Linked DNA regions of Saccharomyces cerevisiae S288C. Changing the gene in region 1 together with any one later gene gives a genetic interaction. Each region holds a gene or a part of one and is shown in the gene's direction. Other genes may lie near its edges.

Evidence for each region.
Region 2: mutations in THP2 (region 1) and RRP6 together harm fitness more than expected from each alone (negative genetic interaction), as found in Saccharomyces cerevisiae (5 studies listed by BioGRID).
Region 3: mutations in THP2 (region 1) and PAT1 together harm fitness more than expected from each alone (negative genetic interaction), as found in Saccharomyces cerevisiae (5 studies listed by BioGRID).

Annotation. Positions count from the first base shown.
Region 1 is NC_001140.6:437,342-440,627, forward strand, and holds THP2 (Thp2p), read left to right. Parts: upstream 1-2,000; coding exon 2,001-2,786; downstream 2,787-3,286. Other genes in the region: anaphase promoting complex subunit CDC23, read right to left, coding at 1-1,709; putative GTPase MTG2, read left to right, coding at 3,036-3,286. UniProt on the Saccharomyces cerevisiae protein: Component the THO subcomplex of the TREX complex, which operates in coupling transcription elongation to mRNA export. The THO complex is recruited to transcribed genes and moves along the gene with the elongating polymerase during transcription.
Region 2 is NC_001147.6:325,218-329,053, forward strand, and holds RRP6 (exosome nuclease subunit RRP6), read left to right. Parts: upstream 1-1,614; coding exon 1,615-3,816; downstream 3,817-3,836. Other genes in the region: PHO80 (Pho80p), read left to right, coding at 32-913. UniProt on the Saccharomyces cerevisiae protein: Nuclear-specific catalytic component of the RNA exosome complex which has 3'->5' exoribonuclease activity and participates in a multitude of cellular RNA processing and degradation events.
Region 3 is NC_001135.5:250,883-254,718, reverse strand, and holds the start of PAT1 (deadenylation-dependent mRNA-decapping factor PAT1), read left to right. Parts: upstream 1-2,090; coding exon 2,091-3,836. Other genes in the region: SRB8 (Srb8p), read right to left, coding at 1-348; type 2C protein phosphatase PTC6, read right to left, coding at 546-1,874. UniProt on the Saccharomyces cerevisiae protein: Activator of decapping that functions as a general and active mechanism of translational repression and required for P-body formation. First decay factor recruited to mRNA, at a time when the mRNA is still associated with translation factors.

The DNA of each region.
Region 1 (3,286 bases):
TCCAGAAGTTCTTCCACATCTACACATTTCATCATGAACTTCTTACATTCTTGCAAGTCTTCAAGTTCTTCATATAGTTGCGCTAACCGGTAATATATTGAAGTATTTTGATCGACCGTTTGTGAAGCTTTTATGGATCTTTTGTAGCATTTTATAGCTTCTACCTTATTTCCCGTCTTACTATAACATTCTCCCAATACTTGCCAAATCCGACGATCCCAAGGTTTCAAAGTGCAAGCTTTCTGGAAGTAGTAAAGAGAATATAAATGCATGTCCAGGAGAGCATAAGCCTGGCCCAAACCAAACCATGCTTTGAAGTCTCGAGGGCATATATCTACGGCCCGACGATAGCATTCTATTGCGGCATGTGAATTGCTTAGTTCAACAAATTCGTGACCCATCAAAGTCCATGCGTTTGTTGTTTTTTTATCCAAAGTTAGTGCTCGACGGAAATACATGATAGATTTTTCATGTTCCTGTCGGGCACTGTAATAGTTCGCTATGATACAACATGTTTCCGGTCTAAATCTATCTATTTGGGAGACGAATTGCGCCAAATAGGCTAATTTTGAATTCTTCTGCATGACGTATAGAATATTGGAGTAGGTTTCCAAATCGTTGAGACGGTACGGATCTTGTTTAACGATGTCATCAAATCGGCTTTCTGCGGTAACATAATCCAAATTGTTGTAACTAATAGTAGCATTGTAAGCCTTTAAAAAAGTGAAATTGGGGAAAACTTGTAACAAAAACTCTAAATCTTCAAAGTAGTCCTCTAACTGGCCATTAAGCTCCTCAAACACTTTTAGCTTGAAAAATTTGATCATTATATTAAATTCTATCGTTCGTTGACTACCAAGATTTTCAGAAAATTTGAATTGGAAATTTTGATATAGATAATTATTTAAAAGCAATGCATCGTCAACCTTTTGTAAACAGTCCATTAACTCCAGCCAGCAGGACCAGTTAAAGGAGTAGCAACTCAGAGATTTCAAGAATGACGACATTGCCTTAGAAATATTCTTCTCTTGCTTTAAGATGACCCCTCGTAAATAATACAACAGTGCTAACCCTAAATCGGCCTCATCATCGTCTATCTTTATTTCATAAGACTCCAGAAATGTGTTAATTTCCTTCAAAATAGATGATATGTTCGATTGTGACTCATGCTCATTGCTGACCATTTTTAAATTGGCGCGTTGGTGCCCACTTTGATTTATATCCTCATTCCCACTACCATCCCCATCTTTGTTAGCTCTGTACATTTCGTCCGTAAACTTCCCTGTAGTTAAGATATTTTCCATACTTTCCTGGCTTTTCTTATCCCACGATAGAAATTTACTGTATAATTTTAAGAACTTAAGGTATGGATTAGTGACATCTTTTAGAAAAAAAACGCATCGATCAAACTCTTTAGCATCAAACAACGTAGAACCAAGGAGGTACAGGTCATACTCAGTCTCTGATAGGCCAAACCCGTTTTGTGGTATTTCAAACATCTGTTTCGGTACACCTTGTTTATTTCTTAGTGGCGATTCATCGGCTAAAGAGTGTGTTTGATCAACATCAATAGCTTCTGCAAGACCTGCTAGCGCCTCTGCTGCCCACTTTGAGGAGCCGTATAGCTTCCATCGTGATAATTCTGTGGCAGCCTTTCGTAGCTGAATACGTATATCATGTATTATTTTATCCTGGCTGTCGTCATTCATGGTTCTAAATGCTTCACAATCTGATTCTGATCAGTATATATCCAGATTTCAGTTTTCCGCTCGCTAATACTCCCTTCTTCCTCTTAATTTGATGTGAGTACCGCAGTACTTGGTCTGCTATTATGAAGTGTTTGTTTTACCCGAAGTGCTTTTTATGTACGCGCATTGAAAAATAATAGAAACTTGGTAAGTAGAATACTTAAGAAGCTGCAGAAGTGCAGTATCTTACAGTAAGAAACAACAGCGACTAGTTTATCAGGTTTACACTGCTCAAGTTATCAAGTTCATAGCATGACAAAGGAAGAAGGTCGTACGTATTTTGAATCTCTCTGCGAGGAGGAACAAAGTTTGCAGGAAAGCCAAACCCACTTATTAAATATTTTAGATATATTATCAGTATTGGCAGACCCTAGATCATCTGATGATCTGCTTACTGAATCCCTCAAGAAGTTGCCTGATTTACACAGGGAGCTGATAAATAGTTCCATCCGCCTGCGATACGATAAATATCAAACAAGAGAAGCACAGCTTTTGGAGGATACAAAAACTGGAAGGGACGTTGCAGCGGGAGTACAGAATCCTAAGAGTATTAGCGAGTACTATTCTACTTTCGAACATTTGAATAGGGATACTTTAAGGTACATAAATTTACTGAAGCGACTTTCTGTTGATTTAGCAAAGCAGGTGGAAGTGTCTGATCCATCAGTGACAGTGTATGAAATGGATAAATGGGTTCCATCTGAGAAACTTCAGGGTATTCTCGAGCAGTACTGTGCGCCTGATACTGATATACGTGGTGTAGACGCTCAAATCAAGAACTATCTAGATCAGATCAAAATGGCACGTGCCAAATTTGGTTTAGAGAATAAGTATTCCTTAAAGGAAAGACTCTCTACTTTGACAAAGGAACTAAACCATTGGCGAAAAGAATGGGACGATATAGAAATGCTTATGTTCGGTGATGATGCACATTCTATGAAAAAAATGATCCAGAAGATAGATTCATTAAAGTCTGAAATAAATGCTCCATCGGAAAGCTATCCTGTAGATAAAGAAGGTGACATAGTTTTAGAATAAGCACATTTTATTTAACCAGCCTGCACAAGTTAGATAGAGTTATACATACTTGTTGAGTGGGAGGGAAGAAAGAGAAAAATTGTATTATTTTTTAAAGAGCTTTTTAATATTTTATTTGTTCTATCTATTATTTTCACTTCCCCGAAATAGTACTGAAGGAAAAAACATGCTGGTTTATTTAGCGTTTAATAGGATGTGTACGTACTGAGAATATCATCAAGAATCAGTCCTCGGCCAGAGCATCTAGATATGTCGATAGCTTGGTCTAGCGTTTTCAAAAGAGAATTACGGCTTGAAAGATTTTTACCAAGAGTATATTCGACGAAAGTTCCTGATAATGCACCAAGAGCGGCTGACAATGAACAATGGCTAGAAACCCTAAGACCTATAACTCACCCAGAACAGAAAAAGTCCGACCATGATGTCAGTTACACAAGACACATTAATGTTCCTCTGGGCGAAGTCACTTCTGTCAACTATCTACAACGGTATAATAAGCA
Region 2 (3,836 bases), on another chromosome or scaffold:
CGAGGATATCCTTTGGAGACTCATAGAAATCATGGAAAGCACATCAGGAGAACGTTCCGAAAATATACATGAGGATCAAGGGATACCAAAAGTAATTCTGCCCGCTGATTTTAATAAATGCTCTAGAACTGACCTAGTGGTGCTCATATCACGAATGTTAGTATCGCTGATAGCAATCAATGAAAATTCAGCAACAAAGAAATCTGATGACCAAATTACTTTAACACGATACCATTCTAAGATTCCTCCAAACATATCAATCTTCAACTATTTCATACGACTGACAAAGTTTTCCTCTTTAGAACATTGTGTGCTTATGACATCACTCTATTATATCGATTTATTGCAAACTGTGTATCCTGATTTTACGCTTAATTCGTTGACTGCCCATAGGTTTTTATTAACAGCCACCACAGTCGCAACAAAAGGCTTATGTGATTCGTTCTCAACAAACGCCCATTATGCAAAAGTTGGAGGAGTACGATGTCACGAATTGAATATACTGGAGAACGATTTTTTAAAGAGAGTAAACTACAGAATCATTCCGCGGGATCATAACATTACGTTATGTAGTATAGAGCAAAAACAGAAAAAGTTTGTCATAGATAAAAACGCATTAGGGTCTCTCGATTTGGATTCTTATTCTTACGTTAATCGTCCAAAAAGTGGATATAATGTTCTAGATAAATACTATCGAAGAATAGTTCAGCTGGTGGGTTCCTTTAACGCTTCACCTGATAAGAGTAGAAAGGTTGATTATGTTCTCCCGCCAAATATTGATATAGTGAGTGAAAGTGGCTCCCAAACTACTCAACTAAAGGGGTCGTCATCACCCAATTCTCACTCTTCACAAAAGCGATATTCTGAGGCAAAGGACGCACATATCTATAACAAGCGATCAAAGCCAGATTAATGATTTTTCGTGGGGTATTATGAAAGCAATCATGATTGAGCAAAATTAAAACTTTCCATTTGTACATATATATATATATATATATATATATCTGTGTGTGTATAATAAGCAATTGGCCATCATTTGGCTAAAAAGTTCAAGATTTCAGGTAGTATATAAGAGAATAACTTCCCTCTTTTGCTAAAGAAGGATATGTTCTATTTCAGCCTTTTTGCATCATAAGAGCATAAGCGACAGAAAACACTTCGAGATGAGCTTGAGAACTCCATTTCAATTAACTTGATAAATACATGTAGATTCATATCATCACTGTTCTTTTCAGATACTAGTTTCAAAACTTCCTTGACAGAACCATTTCATGTTCAATAATGAAAATTACTTTCACATGTTTTAGTGGAAAAATACTGAACAATGAAATTTCAATATCGCATATAATAATTTTTGTTATCAAATATATATTTTTCGGAAGTCATATACATTAAATAATTAAAACATTATTTTTAAAAATTAAAAAAATATATTTTAGCAAATAGTTTTTACTTTTTTTTAAATGCAAAATAAGTTCACGTGATATTATTAATAATATTTTACCCAAAAATATGAGGGCATCGGAAAATTTTTCAGTAATGAATATTAATGTTCATCTGAAGATAGACGAAATAGGAACAACAAACAGCTTATAAGCACCCAATAAGTGCGTTATGACTTCTGAAAATCCGGATGTACTTTTATCTAGGGTGATAAATGTGGTGAGAGCAGCATCATCGTTAGCCAGTCAAGATGTAGACTTTTACAAGAATTTAGACAGGGGATTTAGTAAAGATCTGAAATCAAAAGCAGACAAACTTGCGGATATGGCGAATGAAATAATCCTCTCTATTGATGAGCATCATGAATCATTTGAACTTAAAGAAGAGGACATTTCTGACTTGTGGAACAACTTTGGAAACATCATGGATAATTTGTTAGAAATGTCAGACCATTCGCTGGATAAGCTGAATTGTGCAATAAACTCAAAGTCAAGAGGTTCCGATCTTCAGTATTTAGGCGAATTTTCAGGAAAGAATTTTTCTCCCACCAAAAGAGTCGAAAAACCTCAGTTGAAATTTAAAAGTCCAATTGATAACAGCGAAAGTCATCCGTTCATACCTTTATTGAAGGAAAAACCAAATGCTTTGAAGCCACTCTCTGAGAGTTTGAGGTTGGTTGATGATGATGAAAATAACCCCAGTCACTACCCCCATCCTTATGAATATGAGATTGATCATCAAGAGTATAGTCCAGAAATTCTCCAAATTAGAGAGGAGATTCCCTCAAAATCCTGGGATGATTCGGTACCAATTTGGGTAGATACAAGTACAGAACTCGAATCAATGTTGGAGGACTTGAAAAATACGAAAGAGATTGCCGTTGATCTTGAGCATCACGATTATAGGTCATACTATGGTATTGTTTGCCTCATGCAAATTAGTACAAGGGAAAGGGATTATTTAGTTGATACTCTAAAACTTCGCGAAAATTTACATATTCTGAACGAAGTGTTTACGAACCCTTCAATTGTGAAAGTTTTTCACGGTGCATTCATGGATATTATTTGGCTTCAGCGAGATTTAGGTTTGTATGTCGTTGGTCTCTTCGATACTTACCATGCGTCTAAAGCAATCGGTCTTCCTAGACATAGTTTGGCCTATCTTTTGGAGAATTTTGCCAATTTTAAAACTTCAAAGAAATATCAGTTGGCTGACTGGCGTATAAGACCGCTTTCAAAACCCATGACGGCATATGCTAGAGCAGATACTCACTTTTTACTAAATATATATGACCAGTTGAGAAACAAACTTATCGAGTCTAATAAGTTAGCAGGTGTTCTTTATGAATCAAGAAATGTCGCAAAAAGAAGGTTTGAATATTCAAAGTACAGACCACTGACACCTTCTTCAGAAGTTTATTCTCCAATCGAAAAAGAGAGTCCTTGGAAAATATTGATGTATCAGTACAACATACCACCTGAGAGGGAAGTATTAGTAAGAGAGCTATACCAATGGAGAGATCTTATTGCAAGAAGAGACGATGAATCGCCACGATTTGTTATGCCAAACCAGTTATTGGCTGCACTTGTCGCATATACACCTACTGATGTCATAGGTGTTGTTTCTTTGACCAATGGCGTAACTGAACATGTCCGCCAGAATGCAAAACTATTAGCTAATTTGATAAGAGATGCATTACGAAACATCAAGAACACCAATGAGGAAGCTACTCCCATTCCATCTTCCGAGACCAAAGCAGACGGAATATTGTTGGAGACTATAAGTGTTCCTCAAATCCGTGATGTTATGGAAAGGTTTTCGGTGTTGTGCAACAGCAATATTTCCAAGAGCCGAGCCAAGCCTGTCACTAATTCTTCTATTCTGTTGGGTAAGATTTTACCACGTGAGGAGCATGATATTGCATATAGCAAAGACGGCTTGCCAAATAAAGTGAAGACGGAAGATATCAGGATCCGAGCACAAAATTTCAAGTCTGCCTTAGCAAACTTGGAGGATATCATATTCGAAATAGAGAAACCTCTCGTTGTTCCTGTCAAGCTAGAGGAGATTAAGACAGTAGACCCTGCGAGCGCACCTAATCACTCGCCTGAGATTGATAATCTTGATGATCTTGTTGTTTTAAAGAAGAAAAACATTCAAAAGAAACAACCAGCAAAGGAAAAAGGTGTAACGGAAAAAGATGCTGTGGATTATTCAAAAATTCCGAATATCTTATCTAATAAGCCTGGCCAAAATAATAGACAACAAAAGAAAAGGAGATTCGACCCATCATCTAGCGATAGTAATGGACCAAGGGCAGCTAAAAAGAGGAGGCCTGCCGCCAAAGGTAAGAATCTGTCATTTAAAAGGTGATTATGTAAAACAAGCGTATT
Region 3 (3,836 bases), on another chromosome or scaffold:
AGGCAACTGAAAACCAGGCCCGTGTAATGTCGTCGTGGAATTTGAGGGGATCTTATTAATGTGGTCTTCTCTAATCTTGATAATTTTGTCGAATTGCTGGGAAAGAATGTTGGATTGAGTGACTAATGATTCATGAACAGATGATCTCGCAGATATGGACTCGAAATTTACCATTGGTGTATGGTAAAAGCCCTTAGCCACAAAGTTTGCTAGGATTTGATCTTCTGCTGCAGTGTGCTCCCAAGGCTTGAAATCAGGGTATACTTGTTCCTGAGGTTTCGAGCTTGGCACATAGGGGTGAAGATCATCTGGGGGAGTCAGCAAGTATCGACCAGAACCGTTATTCATCGCGTTATTGGCTTACCTCTATAGACCTTTTTTTAATCTTTCGATTAGCATCAAAAATCTCAGCATTTTTTCAGAAAGGTGTTTAAAATGCGCTATAAAGAATATAAAAAGTAATATATATGTATACATACTAATAAAAGGAAGAAAAAAAATACAAAAGATGATTATCTAGGACTTGTTTCCACCCAGGGGGGTGTTTAGTTTAATTTTGTTTCGTTAGATTGTGCATTCATTAGTTTGGTTTCTCTTTGGGGGCCAGTTCTGTCAACATTGGGCCAGTTGCCCCAATTGGAAAGCCTAACCACCACGCAAGTGGCGTTGTCTGAGTGTTTAGTGGCTATTGCCTGAATAAATTTGATTGTCTCCTCTGCAACAAATTGAGGAGTCGCCTTTTTCAGTCCCCAGGAGTTCACCGTAGAGGTGATGAGGTCAACAACCTCTTGGTCTGCAAGTTTATTGGTGATGCCGTCGGTGACAAGCGCCAGGAAGCATTCATCACCATTGAAGGGCAGCTTCGACCTTTCAGATCGCGGCAAATGCAAGGTATTTCCGACAAGAAACGAGAAAATATCCGGCTCACTAGATATACCATACGGTTTCCCAGCGACATCACCAAACGATCTAGTGTTGGCGAAATTATTCAAAAACCTTGTCTCTCCAAAGGCGTCTGGGTCCAATCGAGAAGGGTCTATGCTCAAACGGTGTCGTTCCCTACTGGAATTGATGTGGTGAGTTGTTGTTAATGCGTGTGCAATCCCGTCTTGATCGCAGAGGATGATCTTAGAGTCGCCCACCTGCGTGACAATGAGTTTGAGCAATCCAGAGTGCGATATGATCCACGAGTCATCGTCTTTCCCCTCATCAATGGGTGCATTCGGATCATCATACGGATATAGAAATATGGACGACGCTGTGGACCCCGCTGCGGTGCCCAGGCCGCAGCATTGGTCGAGATCGAACCTGGCAAACCCGTAGAACAATCGCAGACGGTCTAGCTCAGTGAGCAGTGCAATTTTGTCAATAATATTCCCCATTTTATCAAAAATCATCCTGCCACCATTTTGTCCAAGGATCGCACTATCGCCCTCCTTCATCAGCAGCAGTTCTTGTTTCGAGTTGCAGTTCTTTATAAACTTGTTGTAGAATTTTTCAAACGTGGACAGCTTATGTTTCCAGTAATTTCCCTCGGGAAACCTTCTTGCATATTCCTGTACCAACTTCTTCAAGTCCTGCTTGTCCCAGGAGGGTTCAGGGAAATCCAGGCTACTGCACAATTTATCGGCTAACAACTGTGACAGTTGCGCACCTTTCTCCCCATGGCCATCGAATACAGAGCAGTTCAGGGCACTTCCATACGCATTAGGCCACGACCGCATCATTTTAATGGAGTAATTGTCCTGGTTCTCTAACCGGTTGATCCTACTCGTGGCGTGACCCACGTACCCTGGAAGACCCCGTAACAAGTCCAGCTTCAGCCCAACATTTTGCGACGGCTTGCAATACGCATAAGCATTCCCCAGCCGCATCAAATTCCCCTCTTCTGATGCTTAATTGCCCCGATTGCAGCCTGTTATTGATACTATTGTTATCACTTCCCTATTTGTTCTTCTCGCATTACACGAAATTTTTTTTTTCCTCTTCCTCTTTTTAAAGAAAGAAACAAGGTGAATGAAAAGAAACATGTACACCTTGAAGGAAGCAAAGGTTTTAACCGGAAGTAAGAGCAGCAAGAAGCACTAGCAATGTCCTTCTTTGGGTTAGAAAATAGCGGTAATGCGCGGGATGGTCCTCTGGACTTTGAAGAGAGTTACAAGGGCTATGGCGAGCACGAACTTGAGGAGAACGACTATTTGAACGACGAAACATTTGGTGATAATGTTCAGGTTGGTACCGACTTTGATTTTGGAAATCCTCACAGCAGCGGCAGCAGCGGCAACGCAATTGGTGGTAATGGCGTCGGTGCCACGGCTAGATCATATGTTGCAGCTACTGCAGAAGGAATTAGCGGCCCTAGGACCGATGGAACGGCAGCAGCAGGACCTCTAGACCTGAAGCCAATGGAATCTTTGTGGTCTACTGCACCACCTCCAGCAATGGCGCCTTCACCCCAAAGTACAATGGCTCCGGCTCCTGCTCCGCAGCAAATGGCCCCCCTACAGCCAATCTTGTCGATGCAAGACTTGGAAAGACAACAACGTCAAATGCAGCAACAGTTTATGAATTTCCACGCCATGGGTCATCCACAGGGTCTCCCACAGGGTCCGCCTCAGCAGCAATTTCCAATGCAGCCTGCGTCGGGTCAACCAGGTCCCTCACAATTTGCGCCTCCACCTCCACCTCCTGGCGTTAATGTGAATATGAATCAAATGCCAATGGGTCCTGTACAAGTTCCAGTTCAAGCTTCGCCTTCACCCATCGGTATGTCCAACACTCCTTCTCCAGGCCCTGTGGTTGGCGCAACTAAAATGCCTCTGCAAAGTGGACGCAGATCGAAGAGAGATTTGTCGCCTGAAGAGCAAAGACGTTTGCAGATTCGTCATGCCAAAGTGGAGAAAATCTTGAAATACTCAGGTTTAATGACTCCTCGTGATAAGGACTTCATCACCAGATATCAGTTGTCTCAAATTGTCACTGAGGACCCTTACAATGAGGATTTCTACTTCCAGGTCTACAAGATTATCCAAAGAGGCGGTATCACGTCCGAATCCAACAAAGGTTTGATTGCTAGGGCGTATTTGGAACATTCTGGACACAGACTCGGTGGTCGCTATAAGAGAACCGATATTGCCCTACAGAGAATGCAAAGTCAAGTAGAAAAGGCTGTCACTGTGGCTAAGGAAAGACCTTCTAAGTTGAAGGATCAACAAGCGGCTGCTGGTAACTCTAGCCAGGATAATAAGCAAGCAAACACGGTTCTGGGCAAAATCTCTTCCACTTTGAACAGCAAGAATCCAAGAAGACAACTGCAGATCCCCAGACAACAGCCTTCTGACCCCGATGCGCTAAAAGACGTCACTGACTCTCTGACCAACGTGGACTTGGCCTCTTCAGGGTCCTCCTCTACGGGCTCTTCTGCCGCTGCTGTTGCTTCTAAGCAAAGAAGAAGATCTTCATACGCGTTCAACAACGGTAATGGTGCCACAAATTTGAACAAATCTGGGGGCAAAAAATTCATTCTTGAGTTAATTGAAACAGTTTATGAAGAGATTTTAGACTTGGAAGCTAACTTGAGGAATGGCCAGCAAACTGACAGCACTGCAATGTGGGAGGCCCTTCACATCGACGACAGTTCATATGACGTAAACCCTTTCATTTCGATGCTATCATTTGATAAAGGTATCAAGATTATGCCTAGAATTTTTAATTTCTTGGATAAGCAGCAAAAATTGAAAATCCTGCAAAAAATCTTCAATGAATTATCACACTTGCAAATCATCATATTGAGTTCCTACAAGACTACACCAAAACCAACTTTGACACAATTGAAG